Linked DNA regions of Lytechinus pictus. Each later gene encodes a partner of the first gene's protein in a complex. Links are inferred from orthologs where the notes say so. Each region holds a gene or a part of one and is shown in the gene's direction. Other genes may lie near its edges.

Region 1 (16,877 bases):
TAAATTTTCATTTTTAGAAGCAACATATAAGGTATCGCATGTGGCCTGAATACAAATTACCACACGAGCGCGAAGTGCGAGCTCATTTTTTTAAATTTAATATATTTAGCCCTGAAAATTTAACATTGTGAGCAGCTTTTGTAATCATCATGGGGGTATCTAACTTAACGATCCATGCGAGCGGCGAGCTGAAAATTTTGATATACTGGCCAGCAAAAAGACCTGTTAATGTCTATTCGCAGTGATACATGAAATAATACATTTGATCTCCCCAATCCCAAAAGGTTTATATTCCGACCTGAGAACTCGAATGTAATCATGAAGAGGGTGGATATATTAACCAAACTATTGAAGCGAGTGCGAAGCGCGAGCTGAAATTTTGATATCCGACCAGAATACTGGACATTGTTAGCACTTAATTTTTGCATGAATATTATGCATATATAGCAATTCATGTGAGTGAGAGCTAATAATTTTTATTAACCTTTCTGAAAAAGTACATGTTCATGTTTGCAGTGACTCATGAATATAATACATTCCTCACTAATCAAATAGACCGAGTGTGAGCCGATTTGTTTTTTAGATATTGGACCTGAAAACTGGACTGGTTAAACATATTTTCAATAAAGAATACAGTAAAGAAGCGCAAAGCGCGAGCTGAAGTTTTCTTCAGATTTAGAACTAAAAATAAAACATTCGAAGCAATGTAACCATGAAGAATGTCGGCATAGAACTAAGCAACTGTCGTGAGCGTGAAATAATTTTTTTTTACAACCTGACAAACTTACATTTTCAACACTTTTTGCAATCATGAACACGATGGTTATCTAATCAAACTTCTTTTCGAAATCAGACATTCTATGCAGTTTCTGTAATAATGGGAGCGCGAAGCGCGAGCTGAAAATTTTGGGATATTTTTACTTGAAAACAAAATAAACATGTTTTTACATTAAACCAAACTCAGTTTTTTCATCTGTAATTGAACAAGCTGTGTATCTCAATTAACATTAATGCGAGCGCAAAGCGCGAACTGAAAATTTTGGACAGTTTGACTTAAAAACCAAACATTTTTACATGTTTCTACATTAAAACAAACTCAGTTTCTGCATCTGTAATTGAACAAGCTGTGTGGCTCAATAAATATAATATCAGCGCAGTTGAAAATTTTGGAATATTTTGACTTGAAAACCAAACATTTTTACATGTTTCTACATTAAAACAAACTCAGTTTCTGTATCTGTAATTGAACAAGCTGTGTATCTCGACAAACATTAATGCCAGCGCGAAGCGCGAGTTGAATATTTTGGTTATTTTTTACTTGAAAACTAAACTATACATGTTTTTACATTGAAACAAATTCAGTTTCTGCATCTGTAATTAAACAAACTCATATAATGCCAGCGCAGTTGAAAATTTTGGGATATTTTTACTTGAAAACTTAACATTTTTACATGTTTTTACATTGAAGCAAACTCAGTTTAGCTGTGTATCTCAATAAACATGATGCGAGCGCGAAGCATGAGCTGTAATTTTGATTTACTGACCCGAAAGGGAACATTTTAAGCACTGTCAAACATGAATGAAGGAAAATGGTTCAATGTCGGTACAGAAGGACGAGCTGACAACACTCGATACTTTGACTTGAAAACGTTTTTGTACAAAGAACAAACTTATTAGATTCCGCATATGTAATTGAACAAGTTCTGTATCTTAATAAACATAATGCGATTACAAAGCGCGAGCTAAAATTTTTGGTATAGTACTGAGTACTGATCCGAAAGGGAAAGTTTAAGCACTGTCTAACATCAAAATGAAGGAAAATTGTGCAGAGAATATTGATCTCACTAAATATATGATGCGAGCGCGAAGCGCGAGCTGAAAATTTCGTTGAGATTTAGACTTTAAACAGGGACGTTCTTTTCACTGTCGGTACAGAAGCGCGAGCTGAGAACTTTTGATGTTTTGACTTAAAAACTTGATATTTTCACAAGCTTTTTTATATAAAGAACAAATTACTCAGATATGCAATTTAACAATCTGTGTATCTCAATGCGAGCGGAAGTTTAGGCAACAATTTTACTAATTATGATGCGATTTTTTATTGAGATTTAGACTTTAAACCGGGACATTCTTATCACTGTCGGTACAGAAGTGCGAGCTGAGAACTTTTGATGTTTTGACTTGAAAGCTTAACATTTTCTTACTTTTTTTTAAATAAAAATAACAAACTCAGATATATGCATATGAAATTCAACAATCTGTGTATCTCAATGTGAGCGCGAAGTGCGAGCGGAAATTGTTGATATTCCTGAGTGAAATTTAGGCAACATTTTCACGAAATATATGATGTGATTTTTTGTTGTTGAGATTTAGACTTTAAACCGAGACATTCTTATCACTGTCGGTACAGAAGCGCGAGCTGAGAACTTTTGATGTTTTGACTTGAAAACTTAAGATTTTCACACTTTTTCATACAAAGAACAAACTCAGATTTGCATATCAAATATAACAATCTGTGTATGTTAATGCGAGCGCGAAATTTTTGATATTCTTAGGGAAATTTAAGCAACATTTTCAGCAAAATTTTACTAAATATATGATGCGAAGCGCGAGCTGAATTTTTTTTAGATTTAGACCTTTCATTTCATTTTTTCATTTAGGTTTTATTTCCACAAATCCGTTATGTTACAAAACTTTGATAACTTAACTGACATAACTAAGCTGAGCAACCATTACACACGTAGACTATAAGTATAGATAGCAAGCATTCTTAATCACTACATATTAATTCATGTTTAAGTACATAAAAAACGGAAAAGTGGAGGAAACCTTAGAAGCAGAATGCTTGTAGATAAGGTTCCCTTTTTTATACATTACTTTTGATATTACTACTTAGTAATAATACACGTGACAACATTTTATCAATTAAATTACACCCACAAAAACAACACAACACAGAAACGTGACAAAAAACAAAGAAAGAAAGAAACGAAGAAATAAAAAAACAAAATAAATAAAGTAAGCAGCTGCCATCCAACAGAATTTAAGAAACATCTGGATAATAAGCTCTGTGGACAAAAATGCAATAGAGCATGCCAATAAATAGCAATTTCAGTTTGTTTTATTATATCGAAGAAGAAGCTTTGCTTTCAAGTGATGTTTGAAAATATTATAACATACCTTAAATCGTAATTTCTAATGATTGTCGGTAAGAAAGTTGTCAAATCGCGTGTACCGCTATTTTACGGACAAATTTTACAAGCCTGGGTGAGAATCAGGTCAAGCACTCCCCTAAACTAAAAAGGAAATATATGCAACGGAAAGTAACAAGCTGAAACAAATTCTTTGGTATAACGAAAATATTACATACAACAAAAACACTCTATTTTTTAGAGGATGGTATGAAAGTGGTCTAACCTATAAAGGATGTAATTTGTGATGGAAATTTTCTCTCCACAGAAAACATTGCTTTAAGGCTTAAAACTAGAAAAGAAAAATGTAATGTAATGTATGATTACTCTAAATTAAGGAAATCGATACCCAAAATCTGGAACACTTCGACTCCCTATACTCAGCCAAAACAATTAGCTCCACATTTACAAATACCACTTTTGATTATTGGAGATAAAGATAAATGTATCAGTGAATGTAGTAGCAAAATCTTATCTAAACTGCTTTGTCCCGATTACATGCACACCAATACGTGTTGTATTTACTGGGAAAATAAGAAAGGAACTCATTTTGATTGGGAAGTTACTTTTAAACGTAATCTAAATCAAGTTCAAGAGTGCAAGTTACGCGAATTTAATTTTAAACTTCGAAGATATCCACCACGCTTTCATTTCTTGTGATTTCAATAAATCATTTTTTTGAATATTTGAAAGAACTGACTAAAAGATTATTTCATAAAGATTTAGAAATCAATTATAAAATTATGTTTAAACATGAAGTAGACGAAAATTTGGTTTTACTTCTGACCATTGCACTTTGGTGCATTCACAAAGTCATTGTTTCAAGAAACATATCCGGAAAAGAAAAGAGAGGTAGTCTGAAATTTATATTCTTAAGAGAAATAGAAAGTATAGAGTAGAAATGAAAGCTCGGTACAGAAAAAGATATGTTTTTTTACCCAGAGAAATTACCGAATACGTATGAAACTCAGTAAATCTTTTGTTATCACTTTATGTCTTCAATATGTTATAACTCATGTAAGATTATTGGATGATTGCATAACTATTTTGTATCGATATAATTTTTCAAAATGTCATGTCATCTCATGTATATTCATTTTTATAATGTGTTATGTTGCGATGGTGTAAATAAATCCTCTAATTGGAGGCAAAAAAAAATGATTGTCGGTATATAGCCTACAGAGAGCTCTCCACGACAGCATTGCAAAAAGAAAATTTAAAAAATACGATAATAGTATGCAATTTGACATTATTTTACCGACAAAGATAATGGAACTCAAAGACCAAGTATAGAACAAGGTACATGGCGCAGCTAGAACAGCCCTGCGTGACCCGACAGTTTGTCATTTTCCCGACAAGCGTCAGTCCATCTGCCCTGCGCTTGCGTAACAGACAATTTATATTTTTTCCAATTAACATCTCAGACTCCGCATCTTTGATTACACCGACACACAGGTTTACCTAATCAAAACCTTGCATGTCTACCCCATTTCTTCTCTCTTTGAGTTTTCTCCTTCCTTTTGTTTTCCTCTTCCTCGTTGTCCCTTTCTTTCTTTCTTTTCCTTTCTTTTTTTTTCTCTTCCTCTTCTTTCCCTCCCCCATTTTTCCCGACGGCAGCGCTGATTTAGATATCCAAATAAGTTGGGAGGGGGGGGGGGGGTTTGTCGCACCCCTCCCCCTTTTTAGCGACAGCCCTGTATATGGAACAATTATTTACCTTCGGATCTACAAAATTCAAATTCTGTTGATAATTTAAAAATAATTTATAAGAAAATCACTTTCTCTTAATGTTCTTTCGGCTATCCATCCTATATTTCTATGCCAGATTGTATTTTCAATCCGAATTTATCACCCATGCACAAGTATTTTCATGCCTTTTGGTTTACTCACTCTTTTTTCTTTAATCAAGGTATTTTATGCATTTTCTGTACGTTGATTTTTATGTCAACAAGACCGTGTTGAAAAACAGTGTATATTATCTGAACATGTAATCCTTCTTTTGTATATTTGATCATTATTTTTTATCTACCAACACATTCAGGGATGTCGATCCCTGTTTCGGATGGGGGGGGGGGGGGCAGAGTGAAAAAAAAATGTAAAAAGAAGCTGTATGCTGTTTAATGAGTATGCTGGGTTTAATGGATTTATAGTGCTTTCCAATGCTTTTTGAAGCGTACATTCGCATTGCATATAGTAAATTGACCAATTCATCAAAATTAAATTGGAGTAGGTTCAATTGGCAATTGTTGTCATGGAGGAGACCCCTGCCCTCTCACGATCAACGCCTCTGAACATGTCTATGCGGCCAACAAATTTGACTTCGTGAAACCATGCACAATAAATATAGGAATTACGAATAAACGTATATGGCGAGAAAGTAAAGAAATTGGCATTTCAATAACACAATGCAATCTTTGTTAAAGTTGATATATATGTATATATTTGTATATGTGTGTAGGTAATGTTTATGTAATTTTATAAGCTACACATGCGTGCACTGAGTGAATGTTACGGACGTATTACTTGTCATGCTTCAATGAGCACCGCCTGAAGGCAAAATTGTCACTTTTAAAAAATCACAAGCCAAATATCATATCATTCCATTTTGTTTGAACGAATTCCATATTCTCATCATGACATATCGTCAGAAGACTTTTAAAAGCTATTTTCTAAAATACGATTCAACTATTTAAAAAAAATTCAAGATTGAATAAACATAAGTTAAAATTTGCTATAAATTGATTTTTTTTAAAACATATTTCTGTCGATGAAAATGATCAAATGTGATGACATTCATTTTGAGGAAGAGTATCTTCAACAATGTTCATCCTTTCACGGTTCAATAAACATTTAATGAAAACAAAAATAAGATTTTCAAATACATAGGCAAGTATTGTTTCATTTTGGGAACTGAAATTATCTTATCAACTTTTTTCGTTATGTTTATGACCAATTAACATGCTACACTGATTCGAAGGCGTTTGATTAAACATTCACGCTTGAATGAACATGTGGAATGTGATTAGCTCTTTTTTTACGTTATTGGAAAAAAATTGCTATCTGTCACAAACCTCCTTGCATACTTCATTTGATTTGATTTTTATGAAAATCCCGATGTCTAATGCTTCAGTGAGCACGCAATATTAGAAAATTATGTAAATAAGAACAAAGTTCAAGGCCTTGGCCCCACTATGTGCCGTATCGAATGATTATTTTGGTGTTGGCGCCTTCTGGATATATAGTTTCCCTCTGAAACCATGTGCTGTAATAAGTTTATGGAAAAACTGTTCAATTAGTGGCAGAAGTAACAAAAACCGTCCATGAAACAAACCCTCATTTTACTTTTGTTAAAATTTTGATTTCCTCTCCCATAGACATTTTGTACGCGTGCGTGTATTTGACTTTTGTCAGACGTGAATCAATGATCAGATATGATTATTTACGTCTGGGACCGATAGACGTGACCGGGACTCGAACCTCTGCATCAATTTGTAACTTTGTAAGTTGGGGGAGGGATTTAAGCCACTACCATTTTCCTATTTTAACATATTTTTTTAGTTATAGAGGATACTACCATAAACCCCTATGATGATACGTCACAAAAAATTTTACTCACTCAACCATGAACATACGTTATCAAAATTTGTGTGGAGTGGCTAAATGATGGTTAATAAAACAGCATTAGCACCATAAATTTCACCAAAAAACACTTGTTAGCCCAACTACACAATCTGAAAAACGACTCTTGTGACTTTTAAAAAATTGTCATTTTTAATTAAATCTTTGATTACTCATGCATGACTCAACCGATCAATCTAATTTTTTCCAGGAGTTGCTGGAATATATACATGTGCATTTATTTGATATTTTATCAAACTTATAGGGTCATGCAGTATTTCCATTTACTTAATCATAAAATCATAGTGTAAGATAAAAGAGTAAAGTTGATTAAACGCCTTGCTCAAGAGCTTTGGTGCCGTGGCCTGGGACTTTTATGTGTCAGTCATCAGCAAGGCGCCATTCTGCCAGCGCCAGCGCCATGGCACGATGGCAAAGTCGAATAATTCTTTTTTCATTTGACATTTTAGAAACGCTGTATCTTTGCAATTGGGAACAGATACTTCATTCAGAATATTTCAAAAATGAAGTCCAGATTTACAACTATTGACCTTCGGGCAATACTTTACGAACTTGGATCTAAGTAAGTGTCCTTAAACTCTTGGTATTTGTAAAAATATAATTTTGAAAACGTGTGCATTTTGTAATAATTTAAAGTTTGTGCTGTGCGTGTCGTGACTTCGTGTGGTGTGTGAATGTGGCGCTACACGTACCGGTACCGGTACGGTACCGTAGCGGCTAGCGGGACTCTACGGTCCGAACGAGAATACCGTACCACCCAGGCCCAAGCCGGGCCGCTGCGGCGCACCTGGCGGCGACCGTCTTCGTTTTGCACTTGCTTGCCTTCTTCCAATTAGGGAGTTCGGTGACTTTTTGAAATCTTGAACTTTTGAATCCCAACAAATTTGATATCATTGGAAAGCTTTTGGAATAAGAAAATTATGGTGCTTCAATCAACTCATTGTCTGATATAATTAAATATTGACACTCTTTGACAGAGATATTCCAGAATCGAATTTACAACAAGGGAAAATCTGCAGATTTTGTTCTGTAAAAAAATATTTAGGCCAAGAGAATGAAAGCTTTAGATTTGCGTCCACCGCCCGCATGCTCTAAAACTGCCCGCATGAAAATTTCATTATTAAAAAAAAAAATCATTACTTACTAGGGTGTCTGGAGAAAAATATTATTTTTCTTATTTCAAGAAAACATCACATTTTCTTTGTGAATTTGAAGAGAAATGACCTTCAGACTGACAGAAATGTAACATTTTTGAAAAAAATCCGATTATTGGCTGCAAAAAAGAAGAATGAAATTAGGTCAATTTTCAGCATTTCTCTGCCATAGACTGTGTAGTTAAGAAATGGACACACACAAATCCAAATTTTTAGCTTCCGAGAGCTGTTATAAATTTATTATTAATGCCAAAAACTTGTCCATAAAGAGTCCAATAGGATTTTTTATGCTCTTTCTGATGGTATGATTTTTATAAAGATTTGGAAACCAGATCACAATGAAAAATTGTGACAAAGTGACAAAAATTGTGCAAAACAGAAATTTCATTTTCTCATAGAAAACGCATGGGGAAATGGCAATCTCAACACACACAAAAATAAGGGTTTGCAATTTATCTCTAAATCCTTATTTAAAATGATCATATAAACTTGTCCTTACTGTCAAAAGAAGCCCCTGAATTTTCTCTTTCCATACATGCCAAACACAAGTTAATAATCAATTCAGATCACATTTTTCTAGTAGCCTGAACTTCCCGAAAAAAATGTGCCACATTTTCCCCTAAATCAGCCTCTCTTATGCTGACACTTTTCAGTGTGGCTTCAGACACCCTATACTTACTCTCCATCACGAAATTACAAGTTCCAAATCATCGCAGGGCAGTAAAAGGTTATATTTACGCACTTACTACGTGCATACGGTATACCACTGCAGCCCACCTTCATCTATAGACTGTACAACGGATAGACCATCTCGGCTCAGCGAATCGGAGATCGCTGATTGGCCAATTGCGCAGATCACGTCATGACTACGTGGTCGCCAAAATAATTCCTTCGGACTGCGTGCGAAAGTATCGATAGCGATAACGATATCCGGTCACCTTGTCTACACGGGAAATGGTCTTGGTTCGTGATCGGATCGCTCCAGTATCGATCAAAAATTATCGAGACTCTGCAATTTCATGCATATTCACGTGACGCTCCGAAACCCGGAAATCAATTGACTTTGTACACGTTGCGATAGACTCTACAAACTCCAACGAACACGATGCCATATCGACGCTAATCCGCAAGATTTTGACCGAAAAGCAAGAAGTAATCGAAATTCACTTACCTGTACGGTATCGGTGAGAAAATAGATCCTCCAAGAATACCTTTCATAATTCATATAAAATATAGGAAAGTGAAATTCTAGGTCGATTTTGGTACGAGGTGATAGAGAATAGCACACTTGTATTCACTCATTCAATGAACAAGGTTATGATATAACCTTGTTGTCAGTTACATCTCCATACATGTGTGGCAAAATAATTTAAATAAGGGTGGCAATTTTGGCTTATTTTTTCTTTTTCTATGGGACAAATGCTTGATTTTTTTACACTGTCAGTTTCCAATACAGCTATTCATCATATAACTTGGCTCTTATGTAAATTTGATTCTTTAAGTTATTTTTTCTTAATTAAAAATAGAGATTGAAAAATGAATTTTTTTTTGCCATATTACTTTCCACCAATAAAGGGCGTACACACTTGTTCACTGCAACCATCCTGCCTGTGGGGAATCTACAGGTAGGACTATGGCATGCAAATGCTGTACAGAGCACACACTTTAAAAAATCATTAAAGGGGAATCTAACCCAAATAAAAACTTGTTTTTATGTGAAAAAGAAAAATGAGACAAGTTGATAGGTGAAAGTTTGAACAATATTGGACAAACAACAAGAAAGTTATGAATTTTTAAAAGTTGTAAATATTGGTAATCACTATACCCATGGAGACTTCAGATTGGCCGCATATGGGATGTCATAGTGATGTAAGGCAAGGACTACTCTTCCATGTACTCCAATACATATTATGGCTAAAATGTCATTTTTCTCAAAAGTTTTATTTCAAATTATATTTTTCTTTCATGAGGACATAAAACAATATACTACCTGGATTATGTTAAGATTACTGCCCCAGGGGAATGGGTACTTAGGAGAAAACCACAAATCCCTGATAATTAAGTACATGGCCTATGGGAAAGTTGTCCTTGCCCCTTGTCATAATTTACTTACCCAGTTGCCAATTTGAAATCTACATACTATTAGTGATCTCAATTTTAAAGCAGCCATAACTTTCTTATTGCTTGTCCGATTTCTTTCAAACTTTCGCCATTCTGTTTAATTTATTTTTCTCCTTCCCAACACAACCATTTATAGCCAAGGCTGGATTCCCCTTTAAAATATCACTTTTGTGACCAAAATTACTAATTTCCATACAGTTGCAATTTATTTTCCATTAGTAACTTGGGAATAATTTTTGTATTCACTAGAGAGAAAATAGATCCTCCAAGAATACCTTTCATAATTCATATAAAATATAGGAAAGTGAAATTCTAGGTCGCTCGCATTGATTCGCCAGGATATCGAAAATTCTAATCGGAAAGCATTGATAAAAGCACACCTCATTGAACGTAGAGGGCAGCAACACACGGCTGCCATTTTTTCATCTACCGTAAGTACCGTACTAGTGCGCTCACTGCGCTGAGCTTTGTGAATGTGAATTTGATGTGAATGGTACATTACGTGCACGTTATAACCCACGCACGAAGGGAAGACAGCAGAAGTATGGCCGAGCTAGTTACTGTACACAAGATCACGGGAGCGATTTTATTTTCCCCGATCGCTCTCTCTATTGGGTTTGCAAGTGCGATTTCAAAATTTACAAGAGCGAAATCGCTATGCGCTCCCGTGTATTTTTTCGCTGGCCTGTTTGTTTTATTTTTTAATGGCCTTTGATCGACTCACAAACATTGAAACAAAGAAAATTGTAAGTTATACTACCATATTGTTTTCCATTAAGTGTCTTAAAAACTACATGTATGATTTAGTTCTGAAATAAAGGCAAGTAGAAATGCCTCAGTAGGGAATTTTTGTGATGTTGGACAGCAAGATCTAGTTTTGAGGCCAGTGTTGCATTGCTACCTTTGAAACTACAATTGTTTGTGAAAATGGATTGAAAACTGGTCTCTTTACTGGTGTTTGCTTGCGCAGTGGTATGTATGCACATTTATGAGTGGGCAAGAAGCATTCACTGCTGCTCTGACTTGCTGGAAGCAGAAAAAGGTGAACTTTTTTTTATACTGCTCAGCTTCTATGGGCTTTAAAGTGTGTGAGCCAATTTCACCACATAAAAAGGAAATGCTCTTTGGAACAGAGTGAAGTGGCCAGAGCAACAACAAGAAAAGATAAAAATTATGCTATAGAACAATGTTTCATATTTTGCTCAGGAAGAGAAAATTGCTATGCATTGGAACAGAAAATTGAGTGTAAAATTGTGGGTCTTCTCAGAGGGACATATCCACCACATATTATTGAGATCATCATACATAGGCCTCCTAGTCATATCTGATTGATATCTGTTTCTAAAATCGCAATCACACACACACATCATATGGGTAGATATACTCTTCTTCCTTTTTTGTCTCGCCCACCAGAGGTGTAGACGAGACTTAGAGATCCAAATGTCATCCGTCCGTAACAAACCTTATGACACAACTCTGCAACCGTAAGTCACTATTCAACCAAACTTGGATGGTAGATGGACTTGGGGGACCTGCATGTTATGCTGCAGTCGGTTGTAACATCATCAATCAGAGTCAAGAAAGAGATGAATATTCTTCATTTTCCTGATAGTTTTCAACTAAATCAAAATAATTTCAAGGAATTATGGAAAGTAGATGGCCATTTCATGGATTTAAAGATGTATTATGTATAATGTGAAATTTTAGTAATCATTTAAAGCAGGGGTGCTATATTTTGTAAACGTAATGGCTCAGGCCTAGTTTCACCACAGATTACATGATAGCTACACAGCTATTGCATTTACAATTTTAAGAAAAATCTACAATTAAGCATATGTATTGAATTAAATTGATTTGAGCTCCTCAAGGAGAGCGATTCTGAAAAGCTCAATTGAACTTGAAAAAATAAGGAGAGCGATTTATTGAGCTCCACAAAATTATAAACGTGAAGGACTGGACACCTAACTCCGCAACCGTAAGTCACTTTTCAACCAAACTCAGGTGGTAGATGGACTCGGGGGACCTGCATGTAATGCTGCAGTTGGAGGTCACATGGTAAGGTCAAAGGTCATTTTCAGGTCAACGATAAAAGTTTACATGCAAGACTCTCTTATGACACCTAAATCCGCAAGTGCAAGTCACTTTTCACCCAAACTAGGAGTGTCGATGTAGTTAGGAGACCTGCATGTTATGCTGCAGTCGCAGGTCATATAGTAAGGTCAATGGTCATTTTCAGGTCAACGTTAAAGTTTTCCTTCCAGACTCTCTTATGACACATAACTGTGCAACCATAAATCACTTTTTAAACAAACTTGGATGGTAGATGTATGTAGGGGATCTGCATGTTATTGTGTTGGGAGGTCACATGGTATGGTCAAAGTTCATTTTGAGGTCAACATTAAAGTTTATGTGCAAGACTCTTATGACAAGTGTTATTCCATCCCAGTCATTTCACAATGAAGTTTCGATACAATCCTGTTGCGTGCCCTAGCAAATCACGATATTTCTGGTTATTTTCATAAGTGGGCGAGACACAAAATCGCTTATGCCTTGTTTCTTACTTAGTTAACCTTCTCTCCATTCACATGTGTGGGACACTGCCCTGCTGACGACACTAACAGCACAAAGGTGATGCCCCCTTCCCCTCCCTCCCCGAGGTTTAAGAAGATTTAAATTTTTTCCCTTTTCTATTTTATCATGCAGATTGCTTGGACTTCGTGTTCTTAATGTCTATGATGTAAATAACAAGACATACCTGATTCGACTTGGAGGGTAAGTGTATAAATGAGTTAAATTTACAAATAAGTTAATATAATGCCCAGCTTGCATTTCTGATCAGTGTATCCTCTGGTAGAAATTATAATAAATCAGAGAAGGGATTTCCAAATTGTGATGAATCTATGCTATTGGCTATATAGCAGGATGTACAACAAGCCGTATGTACTGCTGGCAAATGTTTGCGGATAAATCCCAAAGTTCTCATCTCAAACTTGTCTTCACTAGTTTGTTATTTTGTCAATTTCTTTTCCAGGACGGACCAGAAAGTGGTCCTTCTATTTGAGTCTGGAACTCGGATGCACACCACTTCGTTTGATTGGCCCAAGAGCCAGATGCCATCAAACTTTTCCATGAAGTTGAGAAAGCACTTGAAATCTAGACGTTTAGTAGAGATCAAGCAGCTAGGTGTTGACAGGGTTGTTGACTTGCAGTTTGGATCTGATGAAGCTGCTTATCATGTTATTGTTGAACTTTATGACAGGGTAAGCTTAAAATTAAGGGGCAAGTCAACCCTGGTATGCTTTTTGTCTTGCCTGAACAAAGTTCGGCAGAGACTTAGTGATTAATTTTGCCTGTTAGTCTTTTGCAAAAATGTTATAATTTTTGTTCAACTTACTCTCATTTCTTTATTTCTGCATCAAGTTCATACTTGGTACATATGATCCTTGGGTAATACCACATGTGTGTCCATGAGGATGATAGGGTCAAATTTTCAAATTATGTGAGGTCATGTACATCTTTGTTTGAAGTTTTATTCAATTTACAGTACTGTATTATGTAGTATTCTTGATAATGGAAAAGCTTGGTACAACAGATTTAGTGGGAAATATATATTTCTAATAGAAAAGTGTTATAGTGTCAACATCTATTATTTTTTAATATTTGAATATTCATCCATCGATCCTTTGTGAATTCAAAATGACTAGATAAACATTTATACTGGATGAGGGGCTAAAGGTATTTCATTTCTATGCACACAGGGAAATGTTGCATTGACAGATCATGAGTATACAATCTTGACCCTTCTAAGGACCCGAAAGGATAGTGATGATGTTAGGTTTGCAGTCAGAGAAAGATATCCTGTAGACACAGCTAGACAGCCAGATCCTATTCCTCCATTAGAGAGGTAAGATATTCCCATACATTAACAAGATTTTTAGATACTTTGATTGTATTACATGGGTGCTCCAATGTGTAGAAATGGTGGTCAATTGGTAACATGCTTAGATTATTTGCCCCTATTCACAAAGATGGTTTTGTATCAATGGACCAAAACCATGCTTAAGCAGATTTCCTGCATTTATCTCACTTAATCAGTGCTTGGCCTATATTGAGAAATAGTCCAATGCTCTTCTATAACAGTGAGCTGGATGCTATGTTCTGACTTTATGTCAATTTACAGTGGACTCTTTAATGCTAAAAACAAAGCAACAAGCATAAATTTAAACTCTTTCTCAAAATTTGTGCATGCGAATGTTAATATAGTTAGTGTAGAGAATGAGATATTTAGAATAAATCAGCTATAAAGTGCAGAGATGTCTGTCTCTTGGTCAAGAATCCTTATTTTTAAGCCTGAGTCGAATCGATTTTAAAATCGGTGTTCGATCGATGTCATCGAACGCCGATGCAGATTTTGCAAAATCGGTGCATCGAAAAAAAAAAAAAATACGTTGGCCGGCCGATTCATTTGGTTCACACAATCAAACATCAAAATAAACAATAATATCCGTCTCGACTACTACTTACTTCATTTATATTGCCCCCAAAATGAAACGGATTGTGTAATTATGATGCCTATTCACCATTAATTTGAAGTTTATTTCGATCATAGTTCGAGTCTTACTCGTCTGCACGGCTCGTCTGCTCGTGCCGAGATAATTTATGCACGATGAATTTATGAATGGAAGTCGCCATTGATCGTGCATGCGCAGTACTGTGCTTTAATCAAATCAGAAAATGGCCGGAAAATGGATGCGATCAACGTATAAAAGTAAATCTTGCTTTCATGAACAATATTAATATCATGACCATAGAACATGATTTAATCGTAATATTTAACAATAATTTGCATATGATAATCATTAATATGAATTTAGAGCTTGATGTGAAACGTTTGTATTTCGTTTCAATTTTCAATGGCGGACATCACGTGACGATCGACTTGAGTGAGTGGAATCGCACTTGTCTAAAAAAATAATTACACGTCAGGATTGATTATCGAACATTGTCAACATGTAGAAACTCTTTTGATGATCGTAATATCACCATATAATAATATTTTACATGACACAACAGAGAAAAATTACATTTGATATTTTTTCCCATCAATTTGAAGCTTGTTTGTGCCCAACTTTGGGCTCTGATTTCATGAATGGAAAATATGTCAGACGTCATCGAACGCGCATGCGCATTGTGCTTCTTTTCTCGGAGCTCGGAGACGTCCAGAGATGGAATAAAAAATAAAAATAATGCCAGTATAATACTATTAATTCTTCCATATGAACATAACATACTTTGCTGACATCGTCAATATTTTTAGTATGGCCATAAAATCTTATTAAATCGTAATTATTTTACATCCAATAATAATTTATATGAAGTTAGAGCTCGATCCGAGACATTCGTATTTATTTCGATCACAAGCTCTTGTGTCTAAAATAAATGGATTATCATTATTAGGATTAAGTCTCGAACATCGTCAGAACTCATATTTCCAATCTTTCCTCACAATCGTTATATATCAGCATTGAATACCAATTCAAATGACCATCCAGAGAAAATTACGTATTTATTTCCATCAATTTATTTGGAGCTAATTTTGGATCCAACTACCCCGCCAACTACACAATCTCAGGCAAGTTACAGCGCTCTCCCCGCTGTTTGCACTTGTTAGATGGCGCTGGCAAGCATGCCTGTCGTTTCGGGAGAGTGAGTGAACGGGGCTGCGGACGGGGCTGGTCTGTGCGAGGCTGGACTGCGAATGCTAGTTGACCGAAAATCATTCGGATCGACTCTGCGTGATTCATGTCTTTAATATTGTTTCATTTTAAACTTATATGTTATCATCTGCAAATATCATTGTTGAAGATATTTTGGGAAGAATTCTGCATTGCCCCCGGCCTTTTTTGTGTTTTGTGATCATGGAAAATACAAACGAACTTTGCTCTGTCATCTGCTTTTGCAACGCTCACCCGGCGCGGCCAGCGCAGCCAGCGCAGACCGTCAGTGCATGTAGTGCATGCATAGCGCATGCATCGACGGCCGGCCGGAGCAAAAAAAATGACTAGATTTTCCCCGCCTTCAAATTTCGATGCATCGATGTTCGATCGAATTAAAGCTGTCGAACACCGGTTTTCAAAATAATCGATATGACTCAGGCTTACTTATTTTTTCAATTGATATCCTTTGGAATTCTTGGTTTTAGGATGATCTACCAGAAGGGTTATAGTTTTATGAATTAACAGAGAGCAAGAAAAAACATTTTTTATCAGATAAAAGGGGCAAGTAACATTGGTAATTTGCAGGAAAGAGGCCCTTGCATAAATGGATAGATTGGAAACCATTCAAGGTTATGATTGAGTCATATCAATGGATTAGCAATTGGTATAGGTTTTCCTTATTCAAGTTCGTAAATTTATGGGATAATTTTTTTTAAACGGCTCAGTGAAATACCCTTTCTTCATTCTAAAATCTTGTAATTCATTCTTCCCTTTCTGTACTTTCTCTGTATATCCCCTCCATGTCTTTGATTCCAGGATTCAAGAGATCTTAGCTGCAGGAAAACCAGGGGATAACATCAGGAAACTACTCAATCCTCATTTTAGTAAGTTAAGAATAATTGATCAACTTGATCAACAATTATTTGATCAGTTGATCTATGATTTTTATTTGGGTAGAGATCAGCCTCGCCTATATATACTTGTCTGAGATAGGTCTTGAAAAAAGTTGATTTTTCTTGTGTAATACCAACCATAGAACAATAGAAGGCAATACA
Region 2 (17,681 bases), on another chromosome or scaffold:
GTTGCTCACAGTTTCACATCTGGGTTATCATACCATCTATAAAAATGGTCAAAACTGATTGATTTTCAATAATAGCGTTGTCTGTCTGCGGTGTAATGATGTTCACGCTAAAGAGGTGTATTACATTGACACGAGATTGCACTTTCCGCACTCAGATACTGTCCACAATATAATATCCACAGTCAAGAAAAATCCACACTGTAATACTGACCACAGTATGTTATTTGGTTTGATATGTCACAGATTTAATGATGTCTACAAGTTGTCTTTGTCTCTTAGTGTTTCTAACACAGCCAAACACAGATAAATCCTCTCACAAACTCACATATCACGATGCGACTTCGATGCGAGGTTTAACTCATGACATCAACAGAGGACAAGGATGATGATGATGAGGGCCCTGGTCAGGACGTCGCCGTTAAGAGGAGATTCAAGGTTTGCGTGGTCTTTACATGACGGAGATCAGTGAGAATAATAATGCGAGGATGCAAGTGCCTTGGTGCCGTGATAGGATCCGCGTGTATGCATACGAGCGCACTCGTAAAACGAGATGCTGAAATCCGTCGACAATGTTGTCTCCTACGCGGAGGCATTTTAAAGGGGGTTCTCATTCTCGAAATCTTGCCTCTACAACCATGACAACCAACAAGGTGTCCAAGATTTTCATAGGGTGATATATTTTGTTTTTATATACATAATTCCTTGAGTGACGATAAATTCATTGAATGGTCACCCAAAGTCCACTCTAAAAGATATTGGGTAAAAGTGCTCCATGAGGGTAATTATGTGTCCAACCAACATTGGACATTTCTTTTGGGCATTTTTATTTATCCAGTGTGATGAAAATTTGCCCATTCTAAAGTAATTGCTGCTTATTTTTTAACCTTACTGGACAATATGCTTTGATTGATTGATTGATTGATTTAATTGTCAGGTAACTATGAACAAGTATAAGAAAGTATGAACAGAAGTGTATACCTTGACAGGATTGCCCATGAAAGACGAGATGGCTTATTTCCAATGGGGTCCTTACATCAGTAATTGAAGACAATGTACATCTATGCTTCCCGCGTTGGGTAAAATACTGCCCAGAATTGGTTGGACACATAATTACCCTCGTGGTGGTAAAAATTTTACCCAATATTTTTTACAGTGCATGCGTTAACATTTAATAGATAAGTCTGCAAACAAGGTCTATTATCCATATAACTACGTTTCAGAAGATTATAATATTTCATCATCACCATTTATTTCAAATCATACCTTAAATTACCATTATCTTTATACCTATATAACTATATCAGAATTGAACAGGTCTACTCTTCAACACTATAATACTTTCAGAGCCCTTTCCTCTAGCTACTGAAGACAAAAATGTATTTCGTGAATCAATTGCAGACAACATGCGCATGCTGATTCTTATTTGGCGGCTTGGCTGAAATGGCGGGAGCGATCGAACTATCCCATGAGTATGCTAAGCACATGCACGATGGGGCGAACTGAGATTGCCTTGGTTGAAATAACGGCTCAAATTCACTCACACTTGTTACTGCAAAACAAGTATGGGCAAAGATTGAAATGCTACACAGAGATGGAGTAAAAGATAAGGTTAACCTTTAGGTATTTTGACAGCGTCTTATGCAGAACCAGAGAAAGAGAAAGAAAGGAAATTTTATGTGAAAACATAAATTCCAGGATTGTGAAGTGTGTTCTTACATGCACAGATGCATGTATAGCAAAGGCCTAATGAATTATTTTGACATTTATATTACGGCCCAGGATGGTCATGATGGTAGTGATGATGATGATGATGTGATGATGATGATGATGATGATGACGACGATGATGATGATGTGATGATGATGATGATGATGACGACGACGATGACGATGATAATAATGGTGATGAGATGATGATGATGACGATTGTGACGATGATGATGATGGTGATGATAATGATAAAGGGGATGATGATGATGATGATGACGATGATGATGACGACGATGATGATGATGGGGATGGTGATGAAGGGGATGATGATGATGATGATGATGAAGGGGATGATGATGATAATGATGATGGTGGTGGTGGTGGCGAAGACGAAGGCGATTATCGTACTAATGCTGTTGATTATGATTGATGTTCATTTATACTTAATTGAACCATGGTATATAGGTGATAATGAAAATGATATTTGTGGAAGTGACGATGATGATAATATTATTACAGTGAAAACTCGTTTATAAAGCAAAACATATCAATATGATAATGATGATAATGATGATAACGACGACGATGATGTGAGGATGGTGATGATGGTGATAATAATGATTATGATCGTATATACTGATGGGATGAAGTGTAATAACAACTTAGAAAGACCACATAGAATAGAATAAAGGATGCACAATCACGTAACAGGAGTTTGCCAACATAGGGAATGAAGAGGACAACAACAAAATCATAGCGATCTTTTTTTAGCAACGTGATTTATAGCGATGTTTTATTTAAAGGAACGCTGTCAGAGCAGTATAGAGAGGTGTTTTTTTAGTTTTTGAAGGGGAGAGTATAGGGCGTGAGAGATAGTGCATTTGGATGGGTTTGAGAGCGAGATAGAGAGAGTAAGAGAGGGGGTGGATATGTAGAGCAAGTCGTATAGGCCTATATTGACATTGAAGTGGTCCAGGTTGATTTTGTAAGGGGGAATCACAGGAAGGGGCAAGGTGACTTCATGGGACTTCATTTTCTGCAATGGAAATTATATACACTCTCAAAACAAATCAGTCAAAAATGACTAGTTAATAGGGTCAGCTGGGCGCAACTGTTATTCTAGTAATATTTGACTATTTTCTAGTCATGATTTACTAGAACAGAGTTATTTCTAATATAATTATGTCAGAAATGTGATTATCAGTGATTGTCATATCAGTTGCACCCAGCTGACTACTGGTCTAGTCAATTTGACTGATTTGTTTTAAGAGTGTAGACAGAGGCCTATACTATATAGGCCTAATTACAATAACTCAGTATTCTTATTGATATTGTTTTTATACGCTCACATGTACAATCTTAACCTCTTTCCTACTAGAAGCGGGTAGTCCCTGTATAAAACATATGGGACTTTACATAATTCAGCAGTCAACAGGTTTAAAAGGATTGGTCAACGTAACCAATCTGTTGCTGAATATGACTTGCATGTGTCCGACCGAAAAAAAATTGTCAATATCAACCAAAATTTCGGTAAATTTTCACCAACGAACTAATAGATTCTGACCATTTTTGTCGATCGAACAAAAAAAAAATCATCAAAACATTGGATATTTTGACCAATCCTTTTTCAAGAGTGCATCTTCTTTCTTTTATTGTTTCCATCCTTCCATTCTTTTATTCGAAATGAGAGAGGTGGGGGTAAAAACTCATCCTATAACATTAATTTCTTCCCCATCTTCCCTTTCTCTTTTGTTTTTTGTTCGCCCTTCAAAGCTCCCTCTCGGGAGCTTACCCCCTACATCCCAGCCCGGGCCGAGATTCGTTACATTTCGTAAGCTCAGATGTCTAGCGGCAATCAGGGGCGGATCCAGCTTTTTATAAAGGGGGGGGTTGGGGTGGTATGCGAGGGAGCGTAGCGACCGAGTCCAAGCGAGCGGAGCGAGCGAGGGGGGAGGGTGTGGGAGGGGGGTGTCCCCCCTCCCACAGTAGGGAAAATTTTTGAAAATCTGTGTGTGAAAATGGCGTTTTCTTGCATCTAAAACACCACTCTTTTTGGTATAGAGGTCGTTGCCAAATTAACCCCCATGAAAATTTGTAAAATTAAGTTGCATTTTCCTGCAATGTAAGGCCAGTTAACAACACAGATACAAAGAATTGGGGACCTTGGAATAAGCACTGTTAGCCTAATACTTTTATTATGAACAAAATCCCCACCCAAACGACACTTAAAATATCCCCAAAGTTGCCAAATTTTGACAGAAAATCCCCAAATTCGTTTTTCATAAAACTCAATATTATTTTCATTCCCAAATATTTATTTTTCATCCCCAAAGACTTCAACAATCCCCCAATTTTTTTAAATTTTTTTTTAATGTCACTTCGGCGGTGGCCCGTGTCCTCAAAAAAAGCTGATGGGGGGGGGGGGACTCTGTGACATTTGTTCGCCCAACCCCCCTCCCCCAAAAAGAAATAATAATAATAATAATAATAATAATAATAATAAATGAAATAAATACATACAGTGCGTCCCAAAAAAAACTATACACTTTTGAAATGGCTGCCAAATAAAAAGTATATCACTTTGGGGGGAAAGACTTATATATATGGAAAGCTTATAAAGTCATCTTTCAAATGACACCAAAATGTTGGAAAACTATTCATGCTTGAGTGAGCACTACCCGCTTAAACAAAGGGTATGAAAATTAGGGTGGGCAGGAATTAGCCTTTCGGTTTCTTTCAGTTTTTGAGAGGCGAGTCCCTTGGAACTTGCAAACTTGAGGGTGTTCTGATGAATTGATGGTCATTCATTATCTTTTTAAATTGTTAGAGCAAATTTCATGAATTATCAAATTGAAATTCCATGCATGAGTGAGCATGAATTGCAATCTTTAGTGAAGCATTTTAACTTTACAATGTGGGTCTCAGCAGTGTGTTCATTGAAGTCAGGAGAATAGGGGTAAGAAATGACTTCAGTGGGTGAAGTAAGCTGATGGGAAAAGGGTCAACAGAACGTTTAGCCTCCCTCCTACAGGTCCGTCCCTCCCCCCTCCTGTTGAGATTGAGACTGATTGCTATTACATGTACGCATTAAGTGCAAAGCGGACTGTCAATTTGATAATAAATTCTAAAAATTAGATCATCAACTTTTATCTATCATTCATTCAATCAACAATCTGTTAGTAAATAAACTCAATCAATGTGATCAATCAAATATTCACCTTTTTCAATAAATTATTAATCAAACATTCAGCTTTTTCAATAAATCATTTTATAAATCATCATAATTAGCCAAGTTCTTAATAAATCATTCAATGGAAAAAAAAGACCCATCAACCATCAGTCACTTGGCATTTTAAGTTTTAAATACCAACCAAGAGAAAGAAAGGGGTGGAGGGCGGGGGTGAGTACATGACACGTAATTTGTAAGAGAACACAAAGAAGAATGCCCCTTTAACCCAGTCTTACCCTATCTCATCCCCTTGCATGTAACAGGTACCATCACATTACTCTGACTCTCACAAGCACACTTGCTAAGATCCACATAACAAACGAAAAATGCTACACTAAAATTACAATTCCTGTTTACTCATGCATTACATTTCAATTTAGTAACTCGTGAAATTTGCTTAAGAAACCAAAACTGATCTCCATTTATCAGTAATTTAGCATAACACCCTTAACTTTGCAAGTTCCAAAGGACTCACCTCTAAAAAAATGGAATTAAGGCTAATTCCTGCTCACCCTAGCAAAGGCTAGTCTCTCAGGAGGGGTGAAAGGGGTAGAGAGAGAGAGAGGGGGGGTTAAGTGTTCTGTTGACCCATATCCCGTCAACCTACTTCCCCCACCTAAGTCCTATCCCTATTCTGACTTCCATGAACACATTGCTGAGATCCACTTAAAAAGTGAAAAATTGTATTTCATGTTCACTCATACATTAAATTTCAATTTAATAATTCTTAAAATTTGCTCTAAAAACCTAAATTGATAATGCTTGATCATTGATTTATCAAAACTTTGCAAGTTCCAAGGGACTCGCATCTCAAAAACTGAAAGAAATTGGAAGGCTAATTCCTGCCCACCCTAATTTTCATACCCTTTGTTTCAGTGGGCAGTGCTCGCTCAAGCATGAAAAGTTTTCCAACTTTTTGGTGTCATTTTAAAGTTGACTTTATAGGCTTCCATGTATGTAAGTGTTTCCCCCCAAAGTGATATATTTTTTATTTGGCAGCCATTTCAAAAGTGTATAGTTTTTTTTGGGACGCACTGTAGAAATAGAATAAAATAAAATTACAAGTTTAAAAAAAAAGATAAGATTTAAAAAAATGGTCCCCGGATTTTTTTTTTTTTTTTTGGGGGGGGGTTGCAACCCCCCCAACCCTCCCTCTAGATCCGCTTCTGGCAATTCTTAGCCTAGATTGGGTAAAATCGTGAATCTTAAATCAGATTGTGACACCGACCTGCTGAGAGCTGACTCAATATGCAGGGGCGCTATTTAGAAAGTAATCGTGTATGAAGATTACACGTAATATACCTTCATTGTCGTTTTTGCTTGTCAAGGTTTTGACATTGTATTGGACACTGTATTTGTTAAAAATGGAAATAAACGAAATGAAATTAAAAAAATATTGTCTGAGACTATATATTTTTATCTAACATTGATATAAACAACTTACAGTTTACCTCTTAAAATCCAATCATGACATCAATTTACAACATAATATATAAAAGGGGCGCTATTTCTAAAGTTATCGTGTACAAAGATTGCACATTACATACTGTCGGAAAGAATTGTTTTGTTGTTGTGCTCAGTGGCAACACCAGGATTTTTTAACATGGGGGGCAAATAAAGGAACATTTTTCGGGGGGGGGGGCACTGAGGCGGACACGATTTTTTTTTTTGCCAGTTTCAAAAAATCGAGAGCGAAGTTTATATAGTTTATATTCTAGTTTAGCATAGGCTAACATCAACTTTTTTCTCACTCGCTTATGTATTATGTAGATCGTGTTAAGTCGGCCTATATTCTAGGCCCCCGCTCACAAGCCTTGCTTCTAAAGGGGTCGATCCTATTCGCCTATGCTATAATCTAATTGATACGTGTTTATGTATTCATATGCATTGTATTTATATTTATTTTGATAATAATGTGTTTTTTTAAATAAATAAACTTGAACTTGAATCATATGGTTGTCAAACTGTTACTATATATGTAAGTGAGAGTGCTCCGGGAAGTTGTTTTCTTTTGTTGATCTGTTCCACACTATGGTTTCACCCAATGGCGTAAATCCGTGTTGATGGGTGGGGGGGGATGACTGAAATATTTTGGCATTTTTTTGTGAACATGTTTTTAGATATGCAAGAAATTGTCATTGATATGTCCACAGTGGGTCACGGCATTGGGGGGGGGGGCACCAGCAAAATTTTTGAATCACTGAGTGAGTGCGCTAGTGAGGGCGCGAAGCGCGCTCAGTTGCCAGTTATACTGACCTAATATAGACATTTTAAGGACAATGTCATTAAACGGATATGTATCTCACTGATCAAATAATGCGAGCACGAAGCGCGAGCTGAATTTTTTTTATATTCACACCTAAAAAGGGACATTATAATCAAATTTGTGTAATCATGATAGGAACCTGTCTCGCTAAACAATGCGAACGCGAAGCGCGAGCTGAAAACTTAGATAATTCAGACCTGAAGTGGGGCATTCTAAGGTTTCTTTGTAGGAATTAACTAGGACCATACGTATTTCATTAACCAAACGATGCGAGCGCGAAGCGCGAGCTGAAAAAAATTTTTATATTCAGATCAGAAGAAGGGACATTTTAAGGACTGATTTTAGGAATTTATGAAGAGCAGACATATATCTCACCAATCCACTAATGCGAACGTAATCACGGACAGGAAATGTTTCATATAAGACCTTAACATGGGGCAATCACTTTTTGAGTCATGAAAAAGAAGCATATGTCACTACATAAAACAATGATAACTCAAGTGCTAGGAAATATATTTGGTTTATATTGACTTGAAAACGGGATGTTTTAGTACAACAGGATTATATATTTCGTTAAACAGACAATGCGAGCACCAGGAACAATGAAGACGTAGGCGCTGGGCAAATTATGTTTCATAAAGTTATGATAAAAATGTTTCTTATGTAATGTAACATAACATAATTATAATATGATATAACATTATAATGAATAATATTTTCTTCTTTCCCAATACGTTTCTCTCCCTCTTTTCTCCTTTCCCCCTTTTTTTTTGGACAGCCGATGGGGGGATGTGCCCCCCATGCCCCCCGTAGTTACGCCACTGTATGTCCATATGGCAAATACCCCTCCAATATTATTATCTTTTTTACCCCATGATGGTTTAATGGTTTTATTAGAGATTACATTCAAAATTTTTTGACATTCCATCTTAATCCCTTCCCGAAGACCCCAACATTGATGAATTGGAAGAAACGGGGGTTTCTCTTCAATGTTATAATAAGGACATAAGTATTTCGTTTGGAAATGGTGAACTGGCTCTTTATTTGCATTTTATGATTCAATAATATTATTTTATTTGTTAAGCGGTATTATAGGAAGAATTTTCACCAATAAAACAATTATCTCTTGTGATTTTTTTTCATTTCTTTCGTAAAAAGTGGGGGGGGGGGATGTTTGTACAGGCCAGGCCATCCCCCCCTCCTCGAAAAGTGGGGGGGGGGGTGGATATATCCCCCCCCCCCCCATCCCCCCGGGATTTACGCCAGTGGTTTCACCAAATTCAGAACAGAAGCATCTACTCTACCATTTGGTTGTGTGAACTTTCTTTAAACATATTACCATACCTTTTAAAAGTTGTCTCGCATGCATTTCATGTACCGGTATTACCAAACATAAAGCTAGAACTGGAACTAAGTTGAGCATTATTTGCCCCGGGGCAAGCCCATGAGGCCGAGGGTCCGCGAGGCCGATTTTTAAAGTGTATTTTCTTTCACTAGGATTTTTTTTTTCAATCAGTGGAAAAGTTTCAGCTTAGCATATTCTCTATTGAAAACTTAAATATAATCTTATAATGTAAAGGTTTGGTAAATCGGGACAACATGATTTATGCTCGAGTATATCTCACCCATCATTAATGTAGCTGGTGAGTCTCTTTTCAGCCGTTTATTCATTGTAAAAATCTGAAACTTGAGTTTTAAACATTTTGTTATATTGTTATTATTTCTCACTTGTGTTTCTTTTCTTGGAATGTAGATTTTAATTATTTCATTTGAAAACAGCAAGATTTGGAAATTGATAAAGTCAAATATACCATATTGTCCAGAACGATCAGAAACTTATTATAAAAATGACATTTGAACTGTCAAATTCTGGACTTAGATTATAATCTAAAGATTAGAATTTAGATTATTTGAGACAATGCCGAATGTTTCAATCTGGATTTGTCATTAAACTAATGAAATTTTCATTTAAAAAGTCTTCATCATATATAGCATGCCTTGAACTTGCGGTCTTGAAATAACTTTCGCTATTGCCTATTAATTATTTGCGACTCAGTTGATTAATATCGATGAAGACAAACATCCTGATTAAAGAAAATATAGCTCAGTCGGTAGAGCGGGGGTTTCGGATTCCGGTGACCCGGGTTCGATTCCAAATTGTGCGCTATAACCTATAGTGCCCTTTGCCTTTGGTAAGGCATTTATCCTCATTACCAGGTTACTCGGAGAGGACCTTAAGCCGTTGGTCCCCTCACTCCCCTGGGTACTTGCTCACAGGCCTTCGTGCTTTCTTAGCAGTCAGGTATAACCTCGGTATGATAAGAAAAGTCGGCCCGCAGACCCTCGGCCTCATGGACCCTCGCGCGGCCTCGGCCTCGTGGACGCTCGTCCTCGTGAAACGGTCGGCCTCGTCGTGAGAAGACCATTATCGTCACATTGAGACTGCCTGTTTAGATGGTCAAAAGGCAGAATTATTAAGTACTTTTCTTGGATACCAGTACATTGAGAACGACCAGTTGTGTGCAAAGTAGGTGATGATTAATATTTTGAAAGGTTTTGTTCGATTATTCCAACGATTTGATGTGTTTAGTTCGTTGTTTCTTTACTTCGGTCCCACATGGCTCGGATTGTGTAGTGTACTATAGTGTAGTTAGTAACATTGACATTGTTAAACGCGTGTGGAGGTATAGACTATAGACTATAGTCACGTATTGTAATTGTATGACCGGACACTATTATGATTCTGGACGCGCATATTACTGCGTACGAAAACAATTTCATTTTCAAACTGCATGACTTTCGCAGTTAAATTTCACAGAGCAATCCAATAGGCAATACATAGTCATAGAACAAGAATAAAAAACAAGGCAAAAAAAAACTACATTATTTATCTTTTAAATTACAGAAAATGCTTAAAATATCATATAACATAGTTTTGCATTAACAATCAAATTATGTTCTGATGGAAATATGGGCCTGATTTGATGATTTGCCGAATTTCAATCTCGTCCGCTCCTTCGATCGAATGTTGAGCCTGGTGTATTGTGGGTGCATCGACGGCTAGTTCTCAATTAAAGGAGAATGAAACTCTTGGAGCAAGTTAGCTTTTGTGAAAGCAGAAAAATCAAAGAATAAGATCAACAAAACTTTGAGTAAAATAGGACTAGCAATAAAAGAGTTATGAGCATTTGAATGTCGAGATCACTAATGCTATGGAGATCCTCCTATTGGCAATGCGACCAAGATCTGTGATGTCACACACGTACAACTCTCCCATTTGGACACTGAAAATATACCCCAAAACATCTTTTTGCTCATTCTAATCATATGACAAACGATTCATCAATGATATAATGTTGTGAAACCTCTGTACTTGTCATCTCATAAAGAGAACACCTCACCTTGTGATAGACTCTATAAAAGTGAGAATATACGTGAAATAAGTACTAAAGTAATGAGGGAGTTGTACGTGTGTGATATCACAGATCTTGGTCGCATTGCCGATGGGAGGATCTACATGGCACTAGTGATCTCAATATTCAAATGCTCATAACTTTCTTATCATTCATTCAATCTTCCTCAAACTTTCAACAATATGTTTCTTTGATTTTTCTCTTTGATATGGATTCAGCTGGTTTCAAGGGTTTCATTCTCCTTTAAGGTACCCGTGCGCGAGGTTTACCGTGATTAGAGCCGTCGACGATCGACAGCGCATCGATAGAACTTGATGAGCGTCATACGATATGAACGAGCATAATATTGGAAAGTGCCATGGAACATGCAGTAAAAAAGAAAAAAAAATAGCAAACACAAATTTATTACCAACATCTGCTCACATTCGATATAAAAAAGCAAACGAAAACTTAAAATTTACTCATGATAACATATATGAAGAAAATATCATATAAATTCTTTCTTACATCATTACAATCAAGAATATCTTTACCCGTCCGGCGCGCGTCCGGAATCATGATGTAATTTGCCGTGCACAAAAATAATTGTTTTTCGCGGAGGGGTATGAGGCAAGTGCGATGCAAAGGTAACGGTTGGTAAATGTAAAATAATTTTATCATATTCATAATTTTCATAATATTTGGAATAGCAAGTGCGAATTTTTCTTGATTGTATTTCCTCTAGTTGTAATTTTTAAAGCATTGAAATAAAGGTGTCCGGCAATAGGATACACTGCCATATATGTGTATGTATGCACCAAAAATTTGATTTGAGATTCTTCTTCTCTTGTAATTTTCAAAGGGATCTGCATCCTATCACAAAGTAAAATCAAACTTGAAATATTGCATGCACTGGATGAGGTGAGAGGAATAGTTTTGCATCTGTGGTCGTGTGAAAGTACTAGAAAAGCGAGAGATACATACTTATCAGTGCATGTCACTCATTCAATGAACAAGGTTATGAATCTGATATAACCTCATTCTCTGTTACTACTCCATGTGTGGCAAAATAATAAGGTTGGCAAGGTTTGGCATATTTTCTCTTTTTCTTTTGGACAAATGCTTGATTTTTTGACATTGTCAGTTTCCATTACAGCTTTTTATCATATAACTTGGCTCTTAAGTAATTTTGATTCTTTTAATTATTTTATCTCTAAATTAAAGACAGAGATTGAAAAACGATAATTTTCTTGCCATATTAATTTCCACCAATAGAGGACGTACACAAAAATATGCCCAACATTTTTTAGCGCTCTGGTGAATACAGAAATTATTCCCAAAATACTGATGAAAAACAAATTGCAAATGTATGGAAATTAATATTTTTGGTCACAAAAGTGATATCTTAATGATTTTTCAAAGTGTGTGTTGTGTATTGCATAGGCATACCCCATAGTCCTACCTGTAGATTCCCCACAGGCAGGATGGTTGCAGTGACCAAGTGGTGCATGTCAAATTGACATGAGACTACTTCTTCCGCATACATTCGTAATTCCGAAGCTTCGTTATTCCGAAGGTTCGTATATTCCGAAGGTTCGTTATTCCGAAGGTTCGTTTTTCCGAAGGTTCGTAATTCCGAAGGTTCGTTAATCCGAAAACGAAATGAGGTTCGTAATTCCGAAGGTTCGTTAGTCCGAAAACTAAATGATTAACGAGCCATATTTCGTTTTCGGACTAACGAACCTTCGGAACAACAAACCTTATTTTGTTTTCGGATTAACGAACCTTCGGAACAACGAACCTTATTTCGTTTTCGGATTAACGAACCTTTGGAACATCGAACCTTATTTCGTTTTTGGATTATCGAACCTTCGGAATAACGAACCTTCGGAATAACGCCACAAATGTTCGGATTAACGAACCCTTTTACATTTTCGGATTAACGAACATCGAGGTATATTAAATAGGCAATTTACGTGTTTCGGAATTATGAGCCTTCGGAATAAAGAACCTTCGGAATTACGAAGTGTAACCACTTCTTCAATCTTTGTCTGGGAGTTTGTTCCTATCAGGGAAGGATCTTTGGGCAAGAATAAACCTGAATTTCTCTAATATTCTACAAAAGTTTATGGATACTGTTCCTTATAATTCATATTCTGCATAATAATAATATTCCACATTTATATAGCGCTTAATACATCGGAACGACGTCTCTAAGCGCTTTACAGACATATCATTACCCCGGTCATCGGATCCTTGCATGCCCGCATACAATGTATGCACCTTCTCCACTCCCTGGGGAGCATTCCAACAAGAGTTCCAAGACTCAATTGCTAGGCATACTACATATACATGTAGGCTTTCACATCCTACCGGGTACCCATTTAACACCTGGGTGGAGAGTGGCAAAGTGTGGATTAACGCCTTGCCAAAGGACGTGAGGCCATGGTGGGATTCGAACACACGACCCTCTGATTACAAGGCGAGAGTCAGAACCGCTACACCACGACGCTTCTATAATTATATTTTCTTTTTTAAAAACCTCTGACAAATGTAACAAATTCGAATGTTCTGCAGTGCTCCAAAAGAGACCCTACACATATCCAAAGTCTCATCTAATAAAGCAATTTATGACTATCACTGCTGCTTGTCTTTAAATTTTAGATTGAAAAACATAAATTATTATGGTACCTCACATTTGCACACTTCCAGGATTTTGATGATGGACTGGAGAGGGGGACATGTACTTCATTTTTTTCTCACAATTTTAACTCATAATTTTTAATTGAATAAATCTTGAAATATGTGTCTCCGTATTAATTTCAGAGGTACAAAAGTTTGTTTTCATTGCCTGTTTTCTTTTATTACAATCGCGCTGATTGCTTTTTACCATTTCAACCATTGCAGAATTCAGAAACCGGTCCACCCTGTACCCAGACACAAGAGGAAAATGAAACATGAAAAAAAATCAGGCCTGAATCAAAATGGGTGCACGAATGTATCTTTCACTTCTTTCTTTATCTTGGAAACTGAAACTGGTAATTAGCCAATGTACTTTCACAACTTTAAAGTAAACATACATGTATTTTCACAATTTCAGCATTTACAAGATGTCGTCACGTGCTATGAGAAAATTATGTAATGAACCTGACATTGTGCTCAAGGATGAAGTGGCCAATGATGAGGAAGAGGAGATAGAAGATGATGTGGAAGTTCAAGTAGCAGCAGATGATGTTGTAAGACCTAAGAAACCCAAGGGGAAGAAAAAGAAGAAAGTCGTAAATCCATTTGAGTTGGTAGGTATGAATATTTTCTTTGTCTTTATCTTTCTTACAAAGAATTAATTTGTTAAGGTGGATGATAAAAAAGAGGAAGAAATCATCCTATCTGAAACAGACAAATAAAACGTGGTATTATTAAGAGGTACATGTACCGTACTTTGTTTATGTTTACTGACTTAACCGTCAAAAAGGTGTTATTTATGTAAATTTTGAAAAATATTCTCAAATTTGCCACTCATTCAAGATATGATTGAGAGCTGTGAAAAAAAATCAAGTTGGAGTTCAATCACTGTAAAGAGGGCAGTTCTAAGGCTCAGTAAATTTCAAAACTATTTTCGTGCAATGGCAATATCAACATATTTGTAAAGTGACTGTGAGAATGATATCTTGGCTCTTGAATCACTGCATGTGAGACCTTTCTCAAATTAAAAGATTTGCTCCTTGATAACATAAATTCTGTATTTTGAAATAGTTGAATGATATAGAGGATGCCCAGTCAGATGGTGAAGAAGATGCTGAATTAGATGAGAATGAGAAAACTGATAAAACTACAGAAGGACTTCAAAATGGACTGGATGTTCAAACTACAACGGAAGTGAAACCCAAAAAGAAAAAGAAAAAGAAGAAGAAAAAGCAGAAGGGAGGAACCAGCAGTGGACAAGCAGATGATGTGAGTGTTGGAAATAATTGTTCCTTTGTTTGCACTGCAGTTCATGCTTTTCAAGTGTAATTGCTCATTTTCCTGTCATCGTTTTTTATTCTTACACTTTTGGTATTTTTTTTATAATGCAATATATTTATATATGTTCGTAAAATAAAAAGTTTAGGGTTTTTGTGTGTTGCTCTGAACAAATGTTAAAAAACCATCTTCAAATTTCATCTGTATTGATATGTCTATGACCCGATCATTGATCGTTATGTTAGGTCAAATCTGGTCATGTGGTTGATACAGGCGGCAGTGGATAGCCAAATTTTTTAAAGTTTTTTTTTCTTTTTGTCTTGAGATCAAAAGTTGAAATCCTGAATAAATGTTAAGCAGTATGAGATATTTTGAACAAAATTGTCGTGTAATTATCATTTTTCGTATGACTGTGACGCCATCTCTAAATTCTGTACAAAACTGCAACTTCTTATCTTTGGATGTACTTTATTATATTACAATGAAAGCAAGTAGTCCATATCTATATAGGAAATGGATTATCAAATGTATTACTTAGAGTAAACGGTCTTGTACATTTGTATTTGTTATGATTTCACAGGAAGATGAAATCGATGCGAGTATTCGAGAAGTCAATGAGATCTTGAAGACAAGTCCCCCTCTTTCCACCAATGCACCATCATCATCATCAATGGAGCAAGGTTCCAGGCTGACAAATTCCAAACCATTATTAGCTATTGAACATAAACATCTCAACCCAGAGAATGAGTTGAGAAGAATATTTGGAGCCAGTGTCATTAGAAACGAACAAAGGTAAATCAACATACATGTATATATTTTTGGTTCCACTTTAAGAATTTTGGAAGGTGTTTTACAAAAGTTATGTGTGACTTAAAGTCATGCACGAGTCTTTTTTATTTGAAGCCCTACATAATTCAAACCCTTTCAATAGCCTCTTGTTTGATATTCACAACAATTTTAAGAGATCCTATGGCATGATACATGTATTTATTTTAAGCAACACATTCTAAAGATTTTTTAATTGATATGTTATATTTTTGTTATATCTCTTGTATATTTTTCAATAAATCATATATCTATACAAAAAAATCAAGCACGAGTGACTATGATTGCCAGATTTTTTTTTTTCATCATTTGCAATGTTATATATGAAAGTACCACAGTTCTATTTCATGAATGGCACTATTCAATCATAGATATTTGGATATAAAACCTTCATATTTCTGGTTTTATTTCTACATATCTTAACATCATTGTCTGCCACAAGCCCACAAACAATTTCATATTTTTTTCCATCTAAGCTTTCACAAAGTGTCTAACTCCCATTAAAAACAATGCATTTTCATGATTATGCATATGTCAAAGTGAGATCTCTTGTAAGCTACGATGATTCATTTGATTGTCAAAATGATATTTCTTTGTTTTATGCAGGCAGAGAGGGAGAAACCGGCAGTACCAGAAATCAACCTGGCTAGTAACAGCTAAGCAATCATGGCCTAAAATGACAAAAACAGGTAAATTAAAGTATCATAGAACATAATGTCTTCTGAATTTATTGTGATATCCAAATGGAAAATTTGATGTTTTGCACTTAATGTTTCAACATTTGAATTTTTACTCTTGCCCATGACAATATTTCTTTTGAAAATATTTATGTTCTTACCTTAGGATAGAAATTAGTTCATTTTTCTTTTTCATTTTGTTTTGACAGGTTTATCAATGATACACATCACTACAGAGGGAAGGTAAGCATTTGTTGAAGTTGTGATTTAATTCTCTCTTTTTTGTCACAATAATTATATTTTAGGGTTGATGATTATGAACGTTTATTAGCTTGTATCGGTTTATTTTGTAACGAGTTGAACCACTAATAGATGTTTGCTTATTCAAATGTTTAAATGTTGGTTGACTTTTGTGGTTGATGTTTAAAGACACTATGCCTCAGCCCCTTTGAGCAGCACCAACTCAAGACCTTCAATTGCTCACATAGTTCTTGGATCTTAACACAGAATGCAATATTTTGATCATGTAGTCTTTAAATGCAAACCCACAAGAACAAAAAAAGTTTACATTTCTCTTTACATCATGGTGTTTATAGTGTACTACAAAACATTCCTGTTCTTCAAAGAAAATCAAATAATTATTGTATATTTTCCCCAAAAATTAATAGTATATTTCTGTTTTTTAAACAAACAGTTATTGCATCAAAATTGTCCTAATATATGTAATGCACATTAGCCTATTGCCAGAGATTCACTGTTGCTTGAGTGCTTGGACTTCAGAACTCCTTTAAATTCAAAGTCTGTGTAATTTTTATAGTTGTTGATGTATTCAAATTACATGATCCTTATTTTTCCATGTATAAACTTTTTTTTGTAAATACAGATATCACATATTTGAATATGAACATTCTAAGGATTATCAGAATGTCCAGTTTGATTTCTTGGATGCAGTAGAAACCATGAATCCAGCTAATATTATGGTGAGATCTAGAAACGGAACATTTTATGGATTGATTGGTCAGACATTTTCACTCATTTTGGCTCTTGGTCTTTCAAATGTCTCTTATCTGTAGAATGGGGCCTTGGGGTCACAATTTCATAGGCTCTTTACCTTCCACAATAACTGTTAGATTCAGTAGACTGATTAGAATTAATCGTGGTTCATAAAGTCCTATGGGAGACAAAATCTGATTAGATCATAAAGTTTTTTTATATTTAGAAGTAAACTGTCTATTGTATTTTAGATTTTGCAATGGAGGAGACATAAATTTGGACTACCGGTATGTGCAGTCAAGTATCCGTCAAACTATTATTGCAAGTGGAATGTTTATTTGAAACTTAAATATAAAACACTGTTTGTAGTCACTAGTAAAATAATGGATTCTTCAGTGACATATTTTGTACCTCAATGTTTATAATTTCAAGTAGAGTCTCTCAACACATGGCATATCTATCAATAACATTTTGCCCGGCAATCAATTAAATTTAAAAAGTTTGTACTATGTGAAATGCATGTTGACGTCACCTTTGATGAGTTAGAAAACTTTAGGAAATTATATTTTTGGTTTCTAATTACAGGCCATAATGAATGCACACCCATATCATATAGACAGCTTGCTTCAG

The links.
Region 2: ribosome quality control complex subunit NEMF-like (region 1) and ribosome quality control complex subunit TCF25-like share a complex: the UniProt entries of both Homo sapiens proteins name them as parts of the ribosome quality control complex. The link is inferred for Lytechinus pictus from reciprocal best matches to the Homo sapiens genes NEMF and TCF25.

Annotation. Positions count from the first base shown.
Region 1 is NC_087251.1:8,227,293-8,244,169, forward strand, and holds the start of ribosome quality control complex subunit NEMF-like, read left to right. Parts: upstream 1-7,192; 5' UTR 7,193-7,333; coding exon 7,334-7,392; intron 7,393-12,808; coding exon 12,809-12,877; intron 12,878-13,136; coding exon 13,137-13,365; intron 13,366-13,863; coding exon 13,864-14,009; intron 14,010-16,638; coding exon 16,639-16,706; intron 16,707-16,877. UniProt on the Homo sapiens protein: Key component of the ribosome quality control complex (RQC), a ribosome-associated complex that mediates the extraction of incompletely synthesized nascent chains from stalled ribosomes as well as their ubiquitin-mediated proteasomal degradation.
Region 2 is NC_087246.1:54,854,993-54,872,673, reverse strand, and holds the start of ribosome quality control complex subunit TCF25-like, read left to right. Parts: upstream 1-9,251; 5' UTR 9,252-9,731; intron 9,732-13,696; 5' UTR 13,697-13,706; coding exon 13,707-13,892; intron 13,893-14,349; coding exon 14,350-14,547; intron 14,548-15,136; coding exon 15,137-15,348; intron 15,349-15,987; coding exon 15,988-16,070; intron 16,071-16,267; coding exon 16,268-16,301; intron 16,302-16,941; coding exon 16,942-17,038; intron 17,039-17,636; coding exon 17,637-17,681. UniProt on the Homo sapiens protein: Component of the ribosome quality control complex (RQC), a ribosome-associated complex that mediates ubiquitination and extraction of incompletely synthesized nascent chains for proteasomal degradation.